Linked DNA regions of Rhinolophus ferrumequinum. The protein of the gene in region 1 interacts with the protein of each later gene in a pairwise test. Links are inferred from orthologs where the notes say so. Each region holds a gene or a part of one and is shown in the gene's direction. Other genes may lie near its edges.

Region 1 (10,219 bases):
ATATTTGGGGTAGGAGATAACTGTAGGTAATAGAAAACTTTTCTTTATCCATACCCACTCTCTAGTCAATTATACCTAGGCCTATGATTTCAAATTTCATTTCTGATGAGACCCTAAATTCTCCAGCTCCAATACTTCCTCTGAACACCAAACTATATATCTAGCTGCCCATTCAATATCTTCATGAGATGTCTAATAGGCACATCAAATTCTAAAATAAAACTCTTGATTTTTCCCTCATAAAAATAATTTTTCATCTCCACAAATGGCAACTCCATTCTTCCACTTGTTTGGTATAAAATCTTGCAATCATTGTTTAAAACGTAGACAGAGTTTAGCTCCTTCTAGCCAGCTCCTGCCACCATCACCCATGGTACTATCTTTTCCTTGGGATTTCTGCACTGTCCCCTGACTAGTCATTCTCCTTGTACTGCTGCACTGTTGCACTTGGTCCTCTGCACAGCAGAGTAGTCCTTCTTAAAACAAAAGTCAGAACTCGTCACTTCTCTGCTTTCAAAATCTTCCAGTGACTTTCCATCTCACAAGAAGAAAAAGGCCCTTCACATTTGGTCCCTGGCTCCCTCTCCTGACTCTCCTTTGTTTACTTCATGCCAATCAACTGGCATCATTTTTATTCCTAGAATACAGCACACTTGCTTTTACCTTTGTTCCTTTGTGCTTGACATTCCCTGTGCCTGGAATGCTCCTTCCTCTGATAATTGCACACTCACCCATTCACTTCACTTAGTTTTCTGCTCACACGCGTTACCTAAACTGAGCAGCCTTCTCTAAACACCCTATCTAAAATAACATACATTTTCAATCCCCTCTCTGCCTTATTGTATGTCATATCGTTTACCTGACTTGTTAGCAGTTAGGTGTGGTCAGATGCCCAAGTTCTGGCCAATGGAGTATGACTGGAAGTGATGAGTGCAAATGCCAGGACAAGTCCTGAAACAGCAGGTATAAGCCCTCAATTTCTCCTCCTTTCTAGCCCAGTGGCTGTAATCTGGATGTCATGGCAAGAGCCTAGAAAAGCCATCGTAGACCACCAGCTGGAAGATGGGTGTTGAGACACTAGAGAAATCTGAGTTCTTGATATCTTATCAGCTCTAGAGTGCTTACATTTGAATGGCCACATAAGAGAGTAAATTTTTTATCTTGTTTAAGCCTTTTTCATATATTTTCTAAGCCTTTTGTTTAAGCCTTTGCTATAGAAGTGAAACTATATTCTAATACAGACATGTTATTTTTTTGAAAGTCTGACTGCCCTCCCAACCCCCACCTGAAATGGGACTGGAATGTAAATTCCATGATAGTGGAAGCTCTGTTTGGTTCACTGTAAATAGCTTCTTGAACAGTGCCTGGCACAGTAAGCATTCAGTAAATGTTTGTCGAATGAACGAATGCAAAACCATCAACATAATGCAAGGCCTTGAGTGCTGCCCTGAGGAAGCACATGGCTGGTCAGTATAAGTAAGTAGAGCTATATGCTCTGTGTGTGGCTGCTTTTCTGTTCTGACTGAATCACAGAGGCAGGATACAACCTGCTATTTCCATTATCTGAGAGGCATAAATACTTGTAAAATGGTTGTGTGTTTCTTTTGTAATTTAAATGAAGACTCCCAAATAAAGTTCATGGTTCTAATGAAATCGGGTCACAGAGTCATGGAAAACTGTGACAAGGTTCATACTGATGAGGGAAGGTCACAAGTCGCATGCTAAGCACAGATGGAGAAAAGGAGCTTGTGTGCTGAGATCCTGAGATGTGTGGCCAAGATGTGCATCAGTCTGGATGGCAAAAGCTGATAGCTGAAAGAACCACAGACAAAGAATTGCACAAGCAGAGTCAAAATGAAACAGAGACATATCACAGGGTATCAGCAAGACGCTTGGGGGTAAATGCTACAGACATAAAGCCACTGAGTTTCTGGGTAAGAACATAAAAGGTTATAGTATAGTGCCAGGATAATATTTTTGTTATCAAAAATCTTTTTCATGCTGTGAAGATCATTTTGAACACCTTAAAAACATAGATCTGTTAATGCAAACAACTTGAAACATCATGGTGGCTTTAAAAATATATATAGGAATGACATCCTGTGGGCCCAGGACTAAGCCACCTTGACTTTGAAATGTTCTATTTCCTGGGTGATGAAAGTTGCAAAGGTGTAGGCTATCTTGCCATACCACACCCCTGGGTGTAATATTATTGAAATAAAACAAGTCAAGATTTGTTTAGTTATTTTACAATATATATGTAACTTCTGGTAACAGTTACTGGTATGAGGTTTTTCTTTGTTGACTAATTAGCTAGAAAGTTCAAGAGAGCTTTCTTAATAATGTGCCTCTTTGCTCAAGAATTTCTTAGTAATGTCTCCTTTTTAGAAACATATTACCACTTATATTCAAAGTAGAAGGGCAGCTTTTAGATTATGACAAAGCACTGAAAATTAGTACAATAGTTACTTCTTTGTCCCTACCTCCCTCTTGTGCCTAATTATTGCTTGAATTTTGGGGAGGCCTCTCATCTTGTACACTGGATATATTAGGATGACTGAAGGGTGAGGTAACAATACATGCCACCTTTATATGGTGGCTCATTTATCTGAGGATTTCACGTTGTAGCCACACTGTCATTTCCGATAGGTTCCAGAATATTGAAAATGAAAGTGATCAAAATACGATCTCATTTAAAATCCCTCCGCTGGAAGAATCAAGGCTTTTCCACATTGAGTGCTTTTTTTTTGGTCCAAGGGACTTAAAGTTTCTCTTCAGTGAGCATGGTGGGTGAGGTGCCCTTTTACTGGAGGTGATGGGACAGGTCCCCACCTTTGATAATTTTTATCATAATTTTCAAATGAAGTAATTTGTGCACAGAAAGGCCTTGTAAATCACAAGGATGTAAACAAATACATACCGTGCTTCCCCGAAAATAAGACCTAGCCGGACCATCAGCTCTAATGCGTCTTTTGGAGCAAAAATTAATATAAGACCAAGTCTTATATAAGATAAGAGCCGGTTTTACATTAATTTTTGCTCCAAAAGACTTAGAGCTGACTGGCTGGCTGGGTCTTATTTTCGGGGAAACACAGTAGGTTATTATTACTAGCATTGTGATAAAAACAACTTCTGTTAGGAAAGGAGGCAGCTTAGCGTAGGGTATAAGAATTCCAGGCTGGAAGCCCTAGACTTTAAGAACCTGAGGAAGGGTGGGCCCATCCTTGTAGAGGGAAAGATGGAAGTCATTTTCAGGGAGAATAGTGTGTGTGGGGGATCCCAGGTTTGAAGATGACCCTATTATGACTCCTGTAGTTGGGAAGTCCACATTCACTGGAAGAGTGGTTTAATTTTATAGTAGCTGCTGCCTGGAGAAGACCCATGCGTGGTGCCACAATGTGAAACTTCAAAAACAATGTAGGCCAATAGATTGCTTTCACTGGGTGGCTCAGATAATGAACCCTAATTTTACTGAGACAGTTCACTTAATTGAAGAGAGGATTATGTTTAGTAACCTACATATGTCATTAATCAACTCTTTTAAAAAATAAAATAATAGGAAGCTACTATATTCTCATCGCTTCTGGAAGTCTTTGCAAAGGTGCTAATTGTGGAGTAAATAAGCCTCATTTTTAGAATCTTACTGAAATGCAAAACTTGCTTTCCTTGTGCTGTTTCCCTGTACACTCAACACAGTGTTTTGGAAACCTGCAGTTATCTAAATTCCCATCGGGTGACATTGTTTAATCTAACATTCCCTCTTTCATATATGAAAAATAGCTCTAAGGACAATCCACTGAGAGGCTTTGAACTCTCTTTATGGTGGTTGGGACGGATTTTCCAATCCCACCCCCTTTCCTCTGATGGTTTATTCTGCCCACTCCTTTCCCCACCCTCACCGCTGGTCAGGAGAGCCTCTGGCTGCTCCCCTTCTCCCCCAAGCAAGGGCTAATCAGGGGAGAGTCGTTGACCTTGGCGAAAAAAGCACTGGTCTAATCACTGAGCTTATTAGGGCACGGGAGTCTAGAAGCATAAAAGTTACTTCCAATGAATTTTTTTTTTTTTTTTGGTGTGTAAAATTAGGTCTCTGATGTTGAGAGGAAAAGACTATTATTGCTTTAAAATAATGACTAAACCTATTTTCAAATATTGTGGTGGAAGTATGAAAACAGAATCCTTCACCCTAAAAAGGCTGCAAAAAATGTTATTTTACTTTGGAGACAGTAGTAACTGAAAATAACAACAGGTTTCTTTCAGGTCATATCTTAAAAGGGTAGCTGCTTTTCATGTCTTAGGGTTGTACAAAGGTCTTTTTAAAAGGACCCCCCAATCCCTGCTTTCTGAAGGCCTTAGAAAGATGAACACATTTGTCTTAAAAACCGAGGTGCCTCCCTTTTAAAAAACAACCGGCTGCACTCTCTTCCTCAGTCACATTGTCACATCACTCATCTAAGTTATACTTTATAAACTGCCTTGATATGCTACACACATGCAAAAAGTACACAAAGTGGATAAACTTCTGTCGATGCTGCGGTAGAGGTATATATTTAGTAATCAGTTACATTATTTTTGTGAAATGAGAGCTGATCGACCAAACCTTTCAAACAGACCCACCAGACGATAAATACCACCATATGTTTGATTCACAGTACATTTGAGCATAAACACTTCAATTACAGCTTTGTGTTTAGTATCAAAAACCATTTCTTGTGTGCGTGTTTTCCCTACAGAGTCCCTGCTCTGGATTACATTTTGAAAATCGCTTATTTACAGATAAAGCACCTTTGCAGGTACGCTTCCGACAAACATATGTATTTATGCACACAAAGGTGTGTGCACATCTTTTCACAAACAAATGTCCATATGATGCCTGCATCGCGCTCCACGCACATGCCCACCGAGTGTGTGTGCTCAGCCGCGCAGCCCGGATGCCGGCGGGGACAGGCTGCCCCCCAACACGCTGGAGCCCTGCCGGCCACCCCAGCAAACTTAACCAGCGTTGCCACATTGGCTACGGCGCGAGCCTCCCCGCCCCCACTGGGCCTCGGGCGGCGCAGCCCACACCCACCCAAGCCACCCAGCCGCGCGCGGCGGTGGGGGCAGGGCGGACAGTACCCGCGAGGCGCCTCGGAGCGCCCGCGGGTTTTTCTTTATTTTTAAAAGACTGCGCCGCACACGCCCAGCCCCCAGCACCGCCGCGGCGGGCGGGCGGGAGGGAAGGAGGGAGAGGAGCGAGGCCGGCGGAGGCACCCCCCCGCGCCGCCGCCTCCTCCCCGCGTCCGCGGCGCCCCTCCCCCGCGGGCCCCTCCCCCGCGCGCCCGCCCGGCGCAGGCCGCTCGGGTTTGTTTTGCTGCGCGGCCGCCGCTGCCGCGGGCCTCGCGAGCTCATTTGTGCCTGGCTGGTCCCCATTCCTCTCTCCCCAGTGTTGAGTGTCTGAGCCGTTGGCTGCTCCGAACCGTTTGGCTCTTTCCCTTAGTAACAGCTTTTACCTTCTGCCTCAATTCCTCTCCCCGCTCGCGCCCTTCCCCCGCGCGCCGCCTCCCCCCGCCGCCGGCCGCGTGCGCCCCCGCCCCTCCCCCCTCGGCGGGAGCACCTCCGCTCGCCACCTGGGGACCCGCGCCGCGCTCCCCGCCCCCGCCCGCCCGGCGCCCATCCCCCGCGCCCTCCGCTCGCCGGGGTTATAATTGCCTCTCACCCCCCGGAGGGGTTATTTTGGGGGTGGTTGGAGGCGGCGGCGGCGGCGGCGAGGAGGGGAATTTCCTTGTGCCTCCATTCCTGGGAGGGGGGAGCGGCGTCGGAGGCCACCGTTTCCAGGTAAGCGCTGGGGGCCGGACCCTGGGGTGGGGGCGACCGCGGTCCCGGGCTGGGGGCGCGGGCGGAGGCGGGCGGCCGGTGGGCGCCGGGCCGTGGGGGGGATGGGCGCAAGTGGAACATGCATTTTTCAACTTGGCCCTTTAGGGAGCTGGGGTTTGGGTGGGGGAGGGGAAGGCAGGGAAGGCATTTAGGGTGCCCCATCCCCCTTTTCCTCTCTCAGGCTTCTTTGAAATGCTCACGTGCCTGCCCAATCCCTACCCTTTCCTGGTCTTGGGGATCCTTACCCTTATTATGTTGTCCCCGAAAATGTGCACCTCGGCCTTCTCCCCCTCTTCCACCCTTCGTGCATTTACACCCCCTTTTTGTGTGTGTGTATGTGGGGGAAGGCTTTCAGGAAAGAATTTGCAGCAAATTGAATCAAGGAGCCATCATGAGGCCGACTCCTTTATAGCCTATTTTTAGCAGAGGAGAGGGATCTTTTCCGTGCATGTTATTTTGTTAAACCTCAGGCAGCAATGGAAATCTGCTCCCCTCCTTGGGCGCGTCCCGGGCCCAGGCGCGGCGACCCTAGCTGGCGTGCGGGGGGCTGCGGGCGGCTGTTGGGGCCGCGGGACCCGAGCGGGGGAGGGGCGCGGGGCCGCACTTCAGGACGTGTTTATTTGTAACTTAGTGCTTTTTATCGTCCTAAGGAGGTATTTGATAGAGTCACTTTGAAGTTGGGTTCAGAAGTGTAGAATTGGCAAAGTTATTGCCAGCTTCCTGGTAAGTTTTGGGTGGCAGAGTCACATTATTTTCTGACAGTGTAAAGGCCACGTTGTGAGGGTGGTTTCTCGGTAACTTCCTCTTTGCAACCGATGTCATTTTTTGAACAGAAGCAGACTTTTATTTAAGTGAAATATTAGTCTTAAGTGGCAGCTCGAGGGAAGCCATGCATGTGTTAACATGTTCAGTATTTTTGGAAGTTCCTAATTTGCTGAAACAGGCATCACTTTGCAGTGGCAACCGAGATTAAATTTAGGTTGCGAAAATGGTGTGTTTCGTGTAAAATTTGGCTTGTAAGAACTCTTTAAAAATGCTCCTGTTGTTTGGTTATAAGATTTCGAAAATAATTTGGTGATTATAAATGACAGGGGTCGGAACCTAGTTAAAAACTGGATTTCCACAGTGCCTGGAATTTACTTAAAACCTTGGACTGTGCAGGCACCAAGGTGAACAGTTTTAGTACCTCTGTGATTTACAGTTGACTTGGGGAAGTTTACTATTGGCTTTCTTGTTTTCCAAACAAGCACATTATGTTGATCTAAACAAGCTTGTTAATAAAATATGGTGGGTGAATTGGGTTATTTGTAGTTAAAGGGTTTACCCCTCCCCCCATGTAATTAAGTAATCATCTTCCTCCCTCTTTTTTCCTAAAGACTCCTTTGTCAGATTGGAAAATATGAGGCCCTGGTGGTGTTTTTATCTACTTACCTAAAACAAGTTGTAATAAATATCCTGGTTACACATTGAAGATACAGTGAGTGACTCTTTGGCTTTTCCAGTGTGGTTTATTTTCATTTTTGTTAAACCAGGCCCATGCTGTATTAGTGTGTTTTAGTAATCCTAACTTCCTGGGACTGTATGTTCTCACCATTTTAATAAGTTCATGGTCAAGGGAAATAGAGCTGCTTTGTCTCCATGAAAACGGTGTGTGTATGTTGGGTTGTGTCATGGGAGTTCATGGCAAGCAAGCCTCAGAAATTATCATTGAGAATTCTAGAAATAGTTAGCATTTACCTGTGTAGGAGGGGTGGTAGATAGAAAATATGCCTGAGAGTGTGGTTAGGCATGTGATACATTGTTTAAACTTTTTGCTCTTAAATTGAGGTTTTCCTGTTTGTTTGGAATATGATTTTTTCCCAGTTCTTTTATCATGCACTATTTATGTATGTAATAACAACCATTAAATCCATAAATAAATACTGTTTTTTGCCATATGAGTAGTTAGAATCAGATCTATAGGACAAAATACTAAACTATATAGAGGGGTGAAAACATATTTACATGGAAAAAGTTTTTCCTACTATTAAGGAACTTAAGTAAGGGACTTGTAAACGGCTTAAAAATTGTTGTAAAGCTCACCATCTTATGGAGGACGTTTTTCTTCCAACAGACACCAACTTTGGTTGTTAATATGGTGGAGACTCGCAGTAAATGGAGTGACTCCTTGTGGAGGTTGTATTTTTGCATTGGTTGCTTAAAAGAAGCCTTAAATCTTAAACATTTTAATAACTTCACAGGTGTCCAGGAATCTTTTTGTTACTTGTGTTCTCAACATCTAATTAAGGTTATCCTGATTACCATGATACATACCTACCAAGAGAACAAGAAGTAACTGCTTCCTGTGTACTGGGAGCTTTTGAAGCTAAGAGGCAGAAAAGACAGAAGCTTAATGTAAACATAGGGGTTACTGATAAAAAGAGATGTGGCTAATGGACCTTTTGAAGGAGACAACCTGTTGAATAAATATATCTGTTCGTATATTGCAATGATATATAAGTACAGTCTTGTCAAGTGAGTAGCTTGACAAAGGAATCCTACAGAAAAGGAATTTGCTACAGCAGTATTACTACAAAGAATTTCTGATTTGACACATTGGATGAAGTTAGTAGAAATAATTTGTTAGGTTTGTTCAGTTTCTGTGTTGTTTATATAAAATGAGAGGAATGTGAATGGTAGTAGTCAAGGGACAGAGATGGCAGAAATATTAGCACTGTTTGGGGCTTGGTATTTTTCTAGTTCATGTGAGTTTAACTTCACAAATAACATATAGTGTAAGTCACTATATGCAAAAAATAGAAAGCAAAAAAAATAGAAATGCAGAAAAAGAAAGCAGCTAACATGGAGACATTTATGCATTCCCATAGTACAGAAGGGCTAGGCTCCCAGGGCTGTATAATAAAGAATTGGGAAGAGCATGGTCCAGTTTGGAGACCACCATAGTGGTATCTTCTGCTCTATCACCAACAGAAACTTGAATTCAGACAGACAAACAAACAAACAAACAACTGAGAGCTGATGATGGTGGAGAGGTTTATTCACCACCTCTGGTATTGGACTCCATAAGAGTACAATGAGTTGGCCTGTTACAAAGAGCCAGAAGAAAGGGACTCTGCTTGGGCTGGGGAGCTAGGAAAGGTGTGAGTTACTTTCTGCGTCATTTATACCTCAGACTAATCCTATGAGGTGGGTGGTATTGGGTTCTTTCTGTGCGTGATGACACAGAGCCATGCAGAAAAGTTAATTCACTTGTCCAAGGCCACCAAATGACCAAATGATGCACTGCAATTCAAACTTAGGTCTGTGTGAGCCCTAGTCCAAATTTGTAGATGACTTTTGCAGTGCCAAAATTTTCCAGCTGTTTTGTCAGTCTTGTCTGTAGATATGCTTGCAAAAACGAGTGTTTTTAATCAAGTTTATAATTCAGAAGTTGGGTGTCTCTGCTAACCGGGTCAAGTGATTGCATGGATAAATGAAATTCATGTGATGCAAACATCAGTGTGCTTAAACTCCGTTACAAGTGTTTAATTAGATGCAGTCTTGTCAACTGCTATATTTTTTACCTTAAGATTGAAAGAGGTGAAGTAGCCTCTCCAAGTACTGCCCACAGAAATAAAATAAGAAGGTAAAGCAAATAAGAGTATGCCCAACTATCCTCCAAGTAGATATTCTTGAAAACTTGTATAAGAAAAATCATGTTTTGTGTAGCATAGTGATTCCGTCTGGGGTCCTTGAGGCAGATTGCCTGGGTTCCAACTCAGGCTCCATTCCTTACTACTGTGTTTCCCTGAAAATAAGACCTAGCGGGACGATCAACTCGAATGCGTCTTCTGGAGCAAAAATTAATATAAGGCCCGGTCTTTATAATATAATATAATACCAGGTCTTATATTAAATTTTGCTCCAAAAGGTGCAATAGAGCTGATTGTCTGGCTAGGTCTTATTTTTGGGGAAATAGGGTGGTATGTGTGACCTCAGGGGAGTAACTCCTGCTGTGTCTCAGTTTCCTCCTCTGTGTCATGGGGACAGTTGACTTTGTGGAGTGTGAGGATTGAGAGAATTGTATGTTTAAGGTGCTGAGAATAGTACTTGACATACAGCAAGCATCATGGAAATGTAAGGTGTTTGGGATGATGATGGGTTTGGATTTCAAGTTTGTTTCTTTGTATTACATTTTACTTGCTTTAAGAGGGGGAATAATGTCATAGAAAGAATTTGGCAGCTTTGTTTTCTCGGTTCCTAGATAAAATATTTGAGATAAATTTGGCTTAATTTATTTACTTTTGAAGTTGTGATGTAAGGTTTACTTTGAAGAATTAGACAGGATTTTAATACTAGGTGGGAACAATAATATCAGGTTACGTGG
Region 2 (10,151 bases), on another chromosome or scaffold:
CAGTATCCGAAGCAGAGAGTGGGGTGAAGGAGAAACGGAGGGAGGTGGTCAAAAGATACAAACTTTCAGTTATAAGAGAAGTAAGTACTTGTGATGGAAGGTACAGCATGATGACTGTGGCTACAGGGAAATTGTTAAGAAAATAAATCCTAAGAATTCTCATCACAAGGAGAAAAATTTTTCCCTTTTTTTCTTTCTTTTTGAGAAGAAAAGAAGTGGGGCCTCCAAGTGGGGCCTTCCTACCTCTCATCTATATGAGAAGATGGATCTTAGATTCTGATCTACTGTGGTCATCATTTCACAAGATATGTAAATCAAAACATGCCGTACGTCTTAAACTTATAGGGCCTGACAATTAAGTTCACGAACTCATCCTAGAACAAGTGCTCCATACCTCATTGCTGAATATCACTACAGTCACCTTCAAAGTACTCCCCTTGGGAAGCTATGCACTGACGCCAGCGCCTAGTCCACCCTTCAAAGCAATTTTGGAACTCTTTCTGGAATGGCCATCAGAGCTGTCGTCGTACTAATCTGATGTCCTGAATGTCATCAAAATGTCTTCTTTTCAATGTTTCCTTTATCTTTGGGTAAAGAAAGAACTCACTGGGGACCAGATCAGTGGTCCCCACTAGGGAGGGTGTTCCAACACAGTTATGTTTACTGGCTAAAAACTCCCTCACAGACAGTGCCATGTGAGCTGGTGCATTGTCGTGATGCAAGAGCTCCTTCAGGACCGTTTTTGCACACACCTTTCTCATGCCAAGATTTTCAGTTAAGATTTTTCTGTTTCTATCAATCTTTACAAGGTCTGCTATGCTTCTCAGTCAGCTGACGATTTTGACGCACTTTGATTAATTTTTGCAATGTTTTCGTCAGTTCTGCTGGTTACTTGCCACCCTGACCTCTCTTCGTCAGTGACGCGGTCTCTCAGAAAAACGTTTAATCCATTTGTACACTGCCGTTTTCTTCATGGCATTATCCCCATGAATTTGGACTAACATATTCCTGATTTCACTTCCACTCCTGCCAAGTTCAACAAGAAATTTAATGTTTGTTCGTTGCTCTAATTCAAGCTCAAACATTCTCGTATCAGCACACAAAAATACACAATAATGAATTCCACTCAGCAAGACACCGCCACAAATCGACACGAACACAGCTGTGAGACACTGACACACCAAGGTTATGAAACCTTACTGAGCTGTGTGTACAGCGCTACCAATGTAAGCGCGCGGTGGCAAGTTTGTGAAGTTAATTGTCAGACCTTGTATAGTGCTGTACATCAATTATTTTTCAATAAAACTAAGGGGGGGGGGAGTGCAAATCCCAACCCTTGTGGAGCTATCATTCTAGTAGGGATGGAGGGATGGGGAGAATAAATGTAACCAATTAAGGGAATTACACAGGCTAGTAGAGGCCTTAAGTGTCATGGGGGAATGAATATAAACCAAAATAAAGGATTTGGGGAATGTGGATGGGGGATGAGTGGTTTCAACTTTAAATAGGGTGGTCAGGACTGGGCCTCACTGAGATATTGAAACAATAAATTTTTTTTGAGATATTGGACATTTGAGCAAAGCATTGAAGAGAGGGAGGTAGCAGGGAGGTATGGATTAGGGGCAGCAGGAATGCGCTGGTGGATTGGAGAATTGATAAAGGGATGAGGAGAGAAGCAGGCACTCCCAGTAGAGAGTTGCGAAGGCAATTCATGCAGGTCCTCATTGGCCACTGGAGAACTCGGGCTCCGACTCTGAAAGATACAGGGAGCAGCCAGGGGACAGCACACAGCCAAGGGCTTTAAGCGGAGGAGGGACAAGATTGGTGCACCGGTTAGAAAGGTCCCTCTGCCTTGGGGAAGAGGAACGGCGAGAGGCTGCTTTAGCCATCTCGGTGAGTGGAGCTCCTGGCTCATCTGTCAAGTGGAGATAAGAGGGTACCTGGCTCTCAGGTGGCTGAGTGAAGGCTCAGCAACTACTCCCTCCTCACTCCCCCATCTTGCCCTGTAGCGACAGGAAGCATCGAGCAGCCTGTGGAGGATGCCACAGGCACAGGGGAGGTGAACATGGACGTGTTATTGGAAGAGCTCAGATTTCCAAGTCCTTCCCCCGCTCCTCAGGTTCTGAAAAAGACTGGAGATGTCACGTGCCCTTGGATGGATGACAGGGGTGTGAGGAAGAGCTCATTTCGTTATCTGGAAGTTGGAAAGGACACCTCATCTGCCTCCCACTCCAGGCAGCTGGGTTGAAACCTATAAGGAAGATGCTTGAACACTCTGACTTGTTCTTTGAAGCATTCAGCTGTGGCTTGCTCATTGTATGCACCAAGTGGGGACAGGGCCACCCTTGGATTCTTAAGGCAGACAAGGAGATGGCGTGGGAGCACTAGAGCAAGCCAGGGCAGAACTGGGGTCCATAGGCAGTTGCCATTCCAGGGATTAGGGGGCACACTCTTTTCCCCTGGCTTTCTTTGTTGTTGTTGTTCCAGGATAAAAAGAGTTTTGTTATTTTTCTTTTATGATTAAAAAGGTGATACAGGAAGTGTATGGATGGATCAAAGAGGCTATATCTCTTAAAATTAAAACTATAATGCCAAATTTTCTTCCCCACACATTGGGTAACACACCTCTTTAAAAAGCATCCCGGGGGCAGCCGGGTAGCTCAGTTGGTTAAAGCGAGGTGCTCTTAACAACAAGGTAATGGGTTCAATTCCCACATGGGCCACTGTGAGCTGCGCCCTCCACAACTAGATTGAAACAACTACTTGTCTTGGAGCTGATGGGTCCTGGAAAAGCACACTTAAAATAAATTTTAAAAATTTAAAAACTAATAATAAAAAATAAAATAAATAAAAGGCATCTAGAACTCCATCCTCAAGTTACAATCCACTTACTTAGCCCTAAGAAACTCTCCCTTCAAAAGCGGGTTTCACAGCTCTCAGGATTTGGGTATTTTAATTTCACGATTCTTTCTCGTGAATATATATATTCATAGCTATATATAACTACAGCTCTAGAGATCTTCTTTCCCAGTTTTCTTCCAAACATATTCCCTAGAGATTTTATTTCCTTAAGAGCACCCTTTCCTTCTTTCCAGAAGGCAAATGAAAACACTGCCTGCCAGTAGGCTCCTACGTACACTTGTCTTTAAAAGCCCCTCTTCCCCCCCACCCCATTTCTAGCTACATGCAATTATTATTCAAAACAACTGCTTCCTGGTCTCCGACTATTTTACAGAGCTTCCAGGTTGATTTTTCAGTTGATATTCATCGTTATCTACTATGTGGACCCGGGGAAGCCGCAATAACTGCTTGGAACTGGGCAGGGCCGGAAGCCTGACATTAAAACAAGGATTTCAATGCTCATGGCAGTTAGTAACGTAAAACAATCCAGAAGTGCTTCAGGTAATAATTTGAAGTCCCCCTCAAACCTGTTCCAGAAGTATCAGTTGAATTGCAGTGATTTTCAAATTTTTGTGACTGACTCTTAGTTGAGAAGTACATACATCCATATAAATATCTGAAACACATTTTAACAAACACTATAAACTTTTACTTAATGGGCAAAGGCAGCAATGCTTTCTGTTCTGTTCATTCTATTTAATTTTTGCTAGTGCTTCTAGGTTGAACACATGAAACTGACTGATATCTTAGTAGTCAACATGGGCGATTACATATGATTCAATGTATTTGTGACACTAATTTCACAATCTCCTGAAGGGGCTGCATACCACAGTTTGAAAAACATTGTTTAGTGAGTTATTGTCATTTTAAAAATTATAATGGTACTAAAGTTCACTTAATTTGGCATGGACATCTTTCCACGCAGGCACATTATAGCTCCACCTCTCCTTTCTCAAAGGTTTCATGAAACCCCCCCACACACACACACACACATGTACCCCAGCTTAAGTAACTGATCCCCACTGAAGGCACTTAGATTTCTTAGGAACCAGGAAAACAGTGCACTTTCCAGTTCAGATCTGAGTTTAAATTGCTGTCGCAGCTCCTTCATTCTCTGGACTCCACTATCACATCTCCAAAAAGGAAACAGACCTCTCAGGGTTGTCAGGAGGATGAAGTAGAAAATGTGGAGTACTTTATAAACAGTCACACAGAAGCTAGCCATTATCTTCAGCTGGTGCCTGACTGCCCCAAGCATTAGAACCTTCTGTGTTGCCCACTCACATTTACCCTGTGGTAGGCTGGGGGAAAGGGCTCAAAATAAGACAATAAGGCTCACCTTTTTGAGTTTACACTCTGCCTAGTCCCTGGCCTCAGTTTCCTCATTATTTTCTGGACTCAAGCACTAAGGTAAAGAACCAAACTCTTGGATAAAGTCATTCATTCAACAACAAATATTTGAATATCTACTATATGCCAGTCAGGGTGCTAAGCACCATGTGAGCCTTAACTTTCTCATCTGCAAAAGAAATAGACAAATGATGGGCACATTGGGTGGGATAATTCTTTGTGCAGGTCTGTACCCCGCCCTCTAAGTGACAGGGACCTCCCTGGTAATTGGGACAACCCAATGATGCCCTGTCACATTTTGAAAACGCCCTTCATGGCATTTTCTCCCTTGATGGAGAACCCCCGCCCTCCCTCTATGACTCCAGGTGCCAGGGAAAGGGGGAGGCCTTGTAACTGGCAGGTTCAGGATGACACCCTAGGTCCAACCAAGATGAGGAGGATCTGGACCATGTTTTCAGGGAGCAGAGCTGCTGGTCCCGTGCCCCACACAAAAACGCAGGATATGGTGAGGCCGAAAAGGAGCACCAACGGAGCCATAGATAGGGGAGTCATACCACTATATTCTCAATGGCGGCTGGTTGAGACACAAAAGCAAACATCCACCAGTACCCCAATGCGGGGTCTTCCTGCACCCCTCTCTCTGGCAGCCAGGCGAGACACTGGAAGTAGGATTCACACGATCCGCAATCCATCTGCTTGCTAACCGCACTTGCCAACCACAATCCGAAGTCACTTCTCTGCCAACCAACCCCTTTGCGGAGCGAGGACAGTTATATTAGTGGCTGATGGCTAATCGGTAACAGCTAATGCCCATCTGATTATAGCTGATGGCCATCTAATAACCAAGCCAGCACCTTTCCACGTGAGACCAAGAGCCTGGAAACTGCTCTCTGGGACTCTGTCTCCACAGAGCCTTACACTGGCCAAAGGATAAACTCATCAACAATCTTGGGGCTCTCCATTGGTTCTGACTCCTGCCTCTTCTTACTTCCTATGCAGCCAAAACACAATCCAGGAACTTCAGGTTTCCGTTCCCATTTGAGCCTGGGGTCCTGGAGAGGAAGGAATGGCGGTGCTCTCGTCCTTCAAGCCCTCGGTATGCGAAGGGTTAACTGCAGGTTGGTGAAGAGTTAGCGCAGAAGTCCCCATCACCGCTAGAGGGACCTTCGCAGAGGCACCAATGGGTGACTTCGCGGTCACGTGGGAATGAGGGCGGGACCAAGCGAGGGGCCCGCCAATAGGCTGTGTTGTCAGTGGGCGTGATAGCCAATAGGAGCAGGGCGAGGGGTCCCGGGACTAGGAAGCAACGGCGGCCAGGAGGGGGTTACGGGGACCATGGGCCTTCTGACCATCCTGAAGAAGATGAAGCAGAAAGAGCGGGAGCTGCGACTACTCATGCTGTATCCTCCCGGACGCAGAAGCGGCCAGGGTAGCGGGGCCCCGCCGGGCAGGCGGCACCAGGCGCCCCCTACCGGGCGCAGGGTGAGCGGCCGGCCGGCCCGTCCCAACTGCCCATTGTGCGTCACGCACGTGGGGACTACCAATCACTTGCGGCGGGGGCCCGGGAGGAGGCCGTACCATCGACTCGGGGCGGGGGAAATCCGTTTTCAAGGCAAAGGTGTGAGCCTCATGGCGCAGCGGCCGCACCAGGTGCCCCGGTGTAGAGGGGAAGTGGGTCCTGGAGGTGACTCTGACGCCACACCACCCTTTGGTCTGGCCCAGGCTTGGGGCCTCGGTTCTCCTGGGCTCTAACCTCCTCCCCCTGCCCGTGGGGGCCGGCCTCAGGCCCGGGCCCCGCCCTCAAGGTCGGAATCCCGGGGGCGTGAGGGCACCGTCCTCAGCTCCCGGGAGAGGCGTGTGTGGCCTCGGTGGGTTCGTTCGCCAGTGGGTCCAGTAGTCGTGTTTGTTTGCTGCTGCACGACCCCGTGGTTTTTGGCTGACGGGTTGTAGGCCCGAGGGCCCCGCCGACCTTCCGAGTCCCATTAGCAGGCGTCTGTATTACTTTGTGCCAGGCCCCGCGTGGACTCTGCCATCCAAGAGCTGGGCTGCCCTCACCCCCAGCTCCCCTAGCAGGGAGAGAAGACACGTGCACAAATAACTCCAATAATATTCACATCATGTCTGTTTAAAGAGTTCTTTGAAAGGCTCAGAGAATTCACTCATCCAATAAATATTTTTTGAGCACCTACTCTGTGCTAGGCACTGTCCTAGGGGCTGGGGTAAAACAGCAAAACAAAAACAACCCCTTCCTTCATGGACATTATATAATGCTGGAAGGAGAAAGATGTTAACAAAGCAAATAAGTAAAATATATCGTATGTATGGAGGAGGATGCATTTAAATAAGGGGGTTAAAGAGGCCACGTTAAGAGTGAATCGGAGGTGAGGGACCGAATCATGTAGATATCTGGGGGAAATTGTTTAAGCAAAGGGAACAGCAAATGCAAATGCCTGGAAGGATGAACTCAAGAGGGTCTTCAAAGGAATGTTAAGGAGGGCAGTGTGGCAGGAGGAGAGTACTAGGTTAGGACAGAAGGGTGATGGAAGGGCCTCACTGTAGGACCTTTCGCTTCTTGGCTTTTCCTTTAAATGAGAAGTGTGGAGGGGAGATGTGCTCTGAGAATAGTTAGGCCACTGCAGTATCGCGGATGAGATAGGATGGTGGCTCAAACCAGGTGAGATAGATGGTGGCTCAAGGTGATGGAAGTTGGGGGCATTTTGACAGTAGGCCAGCAGGAATTGCTGGGGAGAGAGAGAGAGAGAGAGAGAGAGAGAGAGAGAGAGAGAGAAGTCAAATATGACTGCTAGGTTTCTGGCCTGAGCAATTAGAAGAATGAGGAGCCATTTGCTTGGATAGAGAAGCGGGCAGGGAGCAAGTTCAAAGGGAAGATGGGAGTTCACTTTTGGCAGCTGGGTGAGACATATACATTTGGGAGTCATCAGCATAAAGATGGTATTTGAAGCTGTGATCCTAGATGAGATCATCAAAAGCGTGGACAGACGAGGGAACCGAGGTGTTCCTAGTTCAGGAGGTCAGGGAGATGAGGAGTGGCCAGATGTGTCCTGGAGTGGAGGAAGGCACAGGCTACTCGGTCAGGTGCTGCTGGTGGAGCAGAAGGATGAGGACTGAGGACTGCCCAGCCCTTGGAGGGCAACATGGGGGTCCTTAGGGACCGACATTGGCAAGAGCAGTTGTGGGGAAGCAGGGCGAGCAAAAGCCTCATGGGTTCAAGAAAGAGCAGGAGGACAGAAATTGGAGAGGATGAGTGTGGACACAGGAGTATGGATTTGCTGTAAAGGGGGGAAATAAAGGAATAAGTAAGGGGGGGAGGGATAGAGAGGATGATGTTTGCTGCTTCTAAGGGGGGAGAGACGCCAGAGGGTATCAGTTGAGGGGAATGATCCAGTGGGGAAGGAAATGTGAATGGTGGAGTTAGGGGTCAGGGAATAGTCAGCAGCCAATGAGCAGGGGCTAAGTCTGAGTCTCAGGAGAGGTGCTCTGTCACCCCCACGTCACTAGTTTGAATCACCCATGTCAGGTGAGGAAAAGGTTACTGAGTCTAAGGCCTGGGCCCCCCTCCCAGCTGCAGACCCCTTAAGTGCTAGAAGGAAAGAGGAGGGTGGTTCTCTCTGGCTGGTGAGCTCACGCACTTGTTTGTACACTCACTCAGCAGCAGGGTTTGGAAGAGTCCTGAAACAAGGTCACCCGCTGCCTCCAGACACTTGCTCTTGCTGTTCCCTCTGTCTAGAACACTCTTCCCCCAATGCTTCAAAAAGCTGGCGCCTTGTAGATTGGACCTCAGCTCAAAACCCTCAGAGAGGTCTTTCCTGGCACCCAAGCTGAAGGAAGCTTCTCCGATGTGATGGCCCTCTCTGAAAGCCTCCTCCTTGTATTTCTAACACGCACCAGGACCTGATAGTACCTTGTTTCTCCTTGGTTTGTACCCTGTCGACTGTCTCTGCACTAGAATGTAAGCTGCACACAGGTAAGACTTTGACTCCGGGGTCCCCCAGCACCAGAAGAGGGCCTGGCATTGAGAAGGTATTCAATAAATATTGCGGAGTGAATTCAGGAGTCTTTGGTCAGCAGGAGATGATAAGATATGTTTCTTGATACTTTCACATTTATCCTGGGCCGATTATGGGTCAGGCATGTGCTCCACTGATTTTGATAGGTGGTAGGAAATTATTTATCCCCTAAGAGAGGGGCACTGTGATGATTCACCACCCTGCAGAGCATGGGGGTTTCTCCTTAACCTGGCGCGCCCCAGCGGCCTGGACAACGCTGGCAAAACAACCATCCTCAAGAAGTTCAATGGAGAAGACATTGACACCATCTCCCCAACGCTGGGCTTCAACATCAAGACCCTGGAACACCGGGGGTGAGCAGGGTCCCTGCGGGCGGGCAGCCCAGAGCAGGGTGGGGAGGGTGGGCGAGGGGCCAGGCTGACCTTCCAGCCACCCCTCCCTGCCCAGATTCAAGCTGAACATCTGGGATGTGGGCGGCCAGAAGTCCCTGCGGTCCTACTGGCGGAACTACTTTGAGAGCACCGATGGCCTCATCTGGGTGGTGGACAGCGCCGACCGCCAGCGCATGCAGGACTGCCAGCGGGAGCTCCAGAACCTGTTGGTGGAAGAGGTGGGCAGGGGGCCTGGCTGAGGGGGGCTGTGGGGGGAGCCGGGCTCCCACCTGTATTCAGGCCCCGACACTTTGTGCACATACGTGGATGTGTGGACACCTTCCTCAGCAGATTCCCTGAGGGCTCCATGACCCCAGAGAGACACCTATGGCAGGGTCTCTTCCTTCCCTGAGCCCTCACCACATGCCCAGCACCCTTGGGGAGGCAGAGAGACAACCTGTATACCTAGTCCTGGGAGGCCCGTGGTGCCACAGGCAGGACACGCTGTGGACTGAGATCTGTGTTCACGTCCCTGTGAGGTCACTGCTTCACCACCCTGAGCTTAAGTTTCCACACCTTGAATCAGGCTTTAGGGAGGAGGACTGCAGGCCAGCGTGTGAGGCTTTGGAGGCAGCGGAACCTAGCTCAGGAGTCAGATTCTAAACTGTGTGACCGCAGGCAAGGCACTTAACCTCTCTGAACCTCCACTTCTCATCTCTAAGATGGGCATTGTAGGGTGATATTTCTTATCTGGCCCAAACACTTTTCTTTAAATAAAGTTTTAGATTTATAGAAAAGTTGCAGATAATGAAGAGAGACCCCGTATATCCTTCACCCAGCTTCCCCAGGGTTAACCTCTCACATAATCACCGTATATTTGTCAAAACTAAGAAATTAACATTGAAAAGTTACTCTTAAAAAACGACAGATTACATTTGGATTTCTCCAGTTTTTACACTGATGTCCTTTTTCTGTTCCAGGATTTGATCTAGGTTCCCTATACTGCATTTAGGTGAAAACAAGGGCACTTTTGAAAGTGAGAGCGGGGCTTGTTAATAATTACGCAGGGACAACAGGCATCAACAGGGCTGTCCTGGGCACACAGGGACATGGTCCCCTGGTATAACAGCTACCTCCCAGGGGCGTCGAGCAGCACCCGTGAGATCATGGCTGTCAAAAGCCCAGGCCTGGCACGTCGAGGCCCTCTATAAGAGCTAGGTCCACCCACCCACATGGAGCGACTCCCAGGACCAACACATACAGTAGTACCTCGGTTTTCGAATGTCTCCAGTGACGAACGTTTTGGTTTACGAACGCCGTAAAACCGGAAGCAAATGTTTTCAAACACGCCTCGGAAGTCGAACATGTCACGTGGCTTCTGCTGAGTGCAAGATCCTGAGGCCTAGCTGTCGGCTGTTTTCGGACATTTCAGAACCTGAACGGTTTTCCGAAAAGGAGTACGTTCGAAAACCGAGGTACCACTGTACATGAAAATAACTGG

The links.
Region 2: the proteins of TBL1XR1 (region 1) and ARL2 interact in binary tests that used the Homo sapiens proteins (3 or more experiments, as listed by UniProt). The two-hybrid records come from large-scale screens. The link is inferred for Rhinolophus ferrumequinum from reciprocal best matches to the Homo sapiens genes TBL1XR1 and ARL2.

Annotation. Positions count from the first base shown.
Region 1 is NC_046285.1:66,367,162-66,377,380, forward strand, and holds the start of TBL1XR1 (F-box-like/WD repeat-containing protein TBL1XR1), read left to right. Parts: upstream 1-5,561; 5' UTR 5,562-5,814; intron 5,815-10,219. UniProt on the Homo sapiens protein: F-box-like protein involved in the recruitment of the ubiquitin/19S proteasome complex to nuclear receptor-regulated transcription units. Plays an essential role in transcription activation mediated by nuclear receptors.
Region 2 is NC_046294.1:6,580,234-6,590,384, reverse strand, and holds the start of ARL2 (ADP-ribosylation factor-like protein 2), read left to right. Parts: upstream 1-5,497; 5' UTR 5,498-5,586; coding exon 5,587-5,651; intron 5,652-8,521; coding exon 8,522-8,632; intron 8,633-8,726; coding exon 8,727-8,889; intron 8,890-10,151. UniProt on the Homo sapiens protein: Small GTP-binding protein which cycles between an inactive GDP-bound and an active GTP-bound form, and the rate of cycling is regulated by guanine nucleotide exchange factors (GEF) and GTPase-activating proteins (GAP).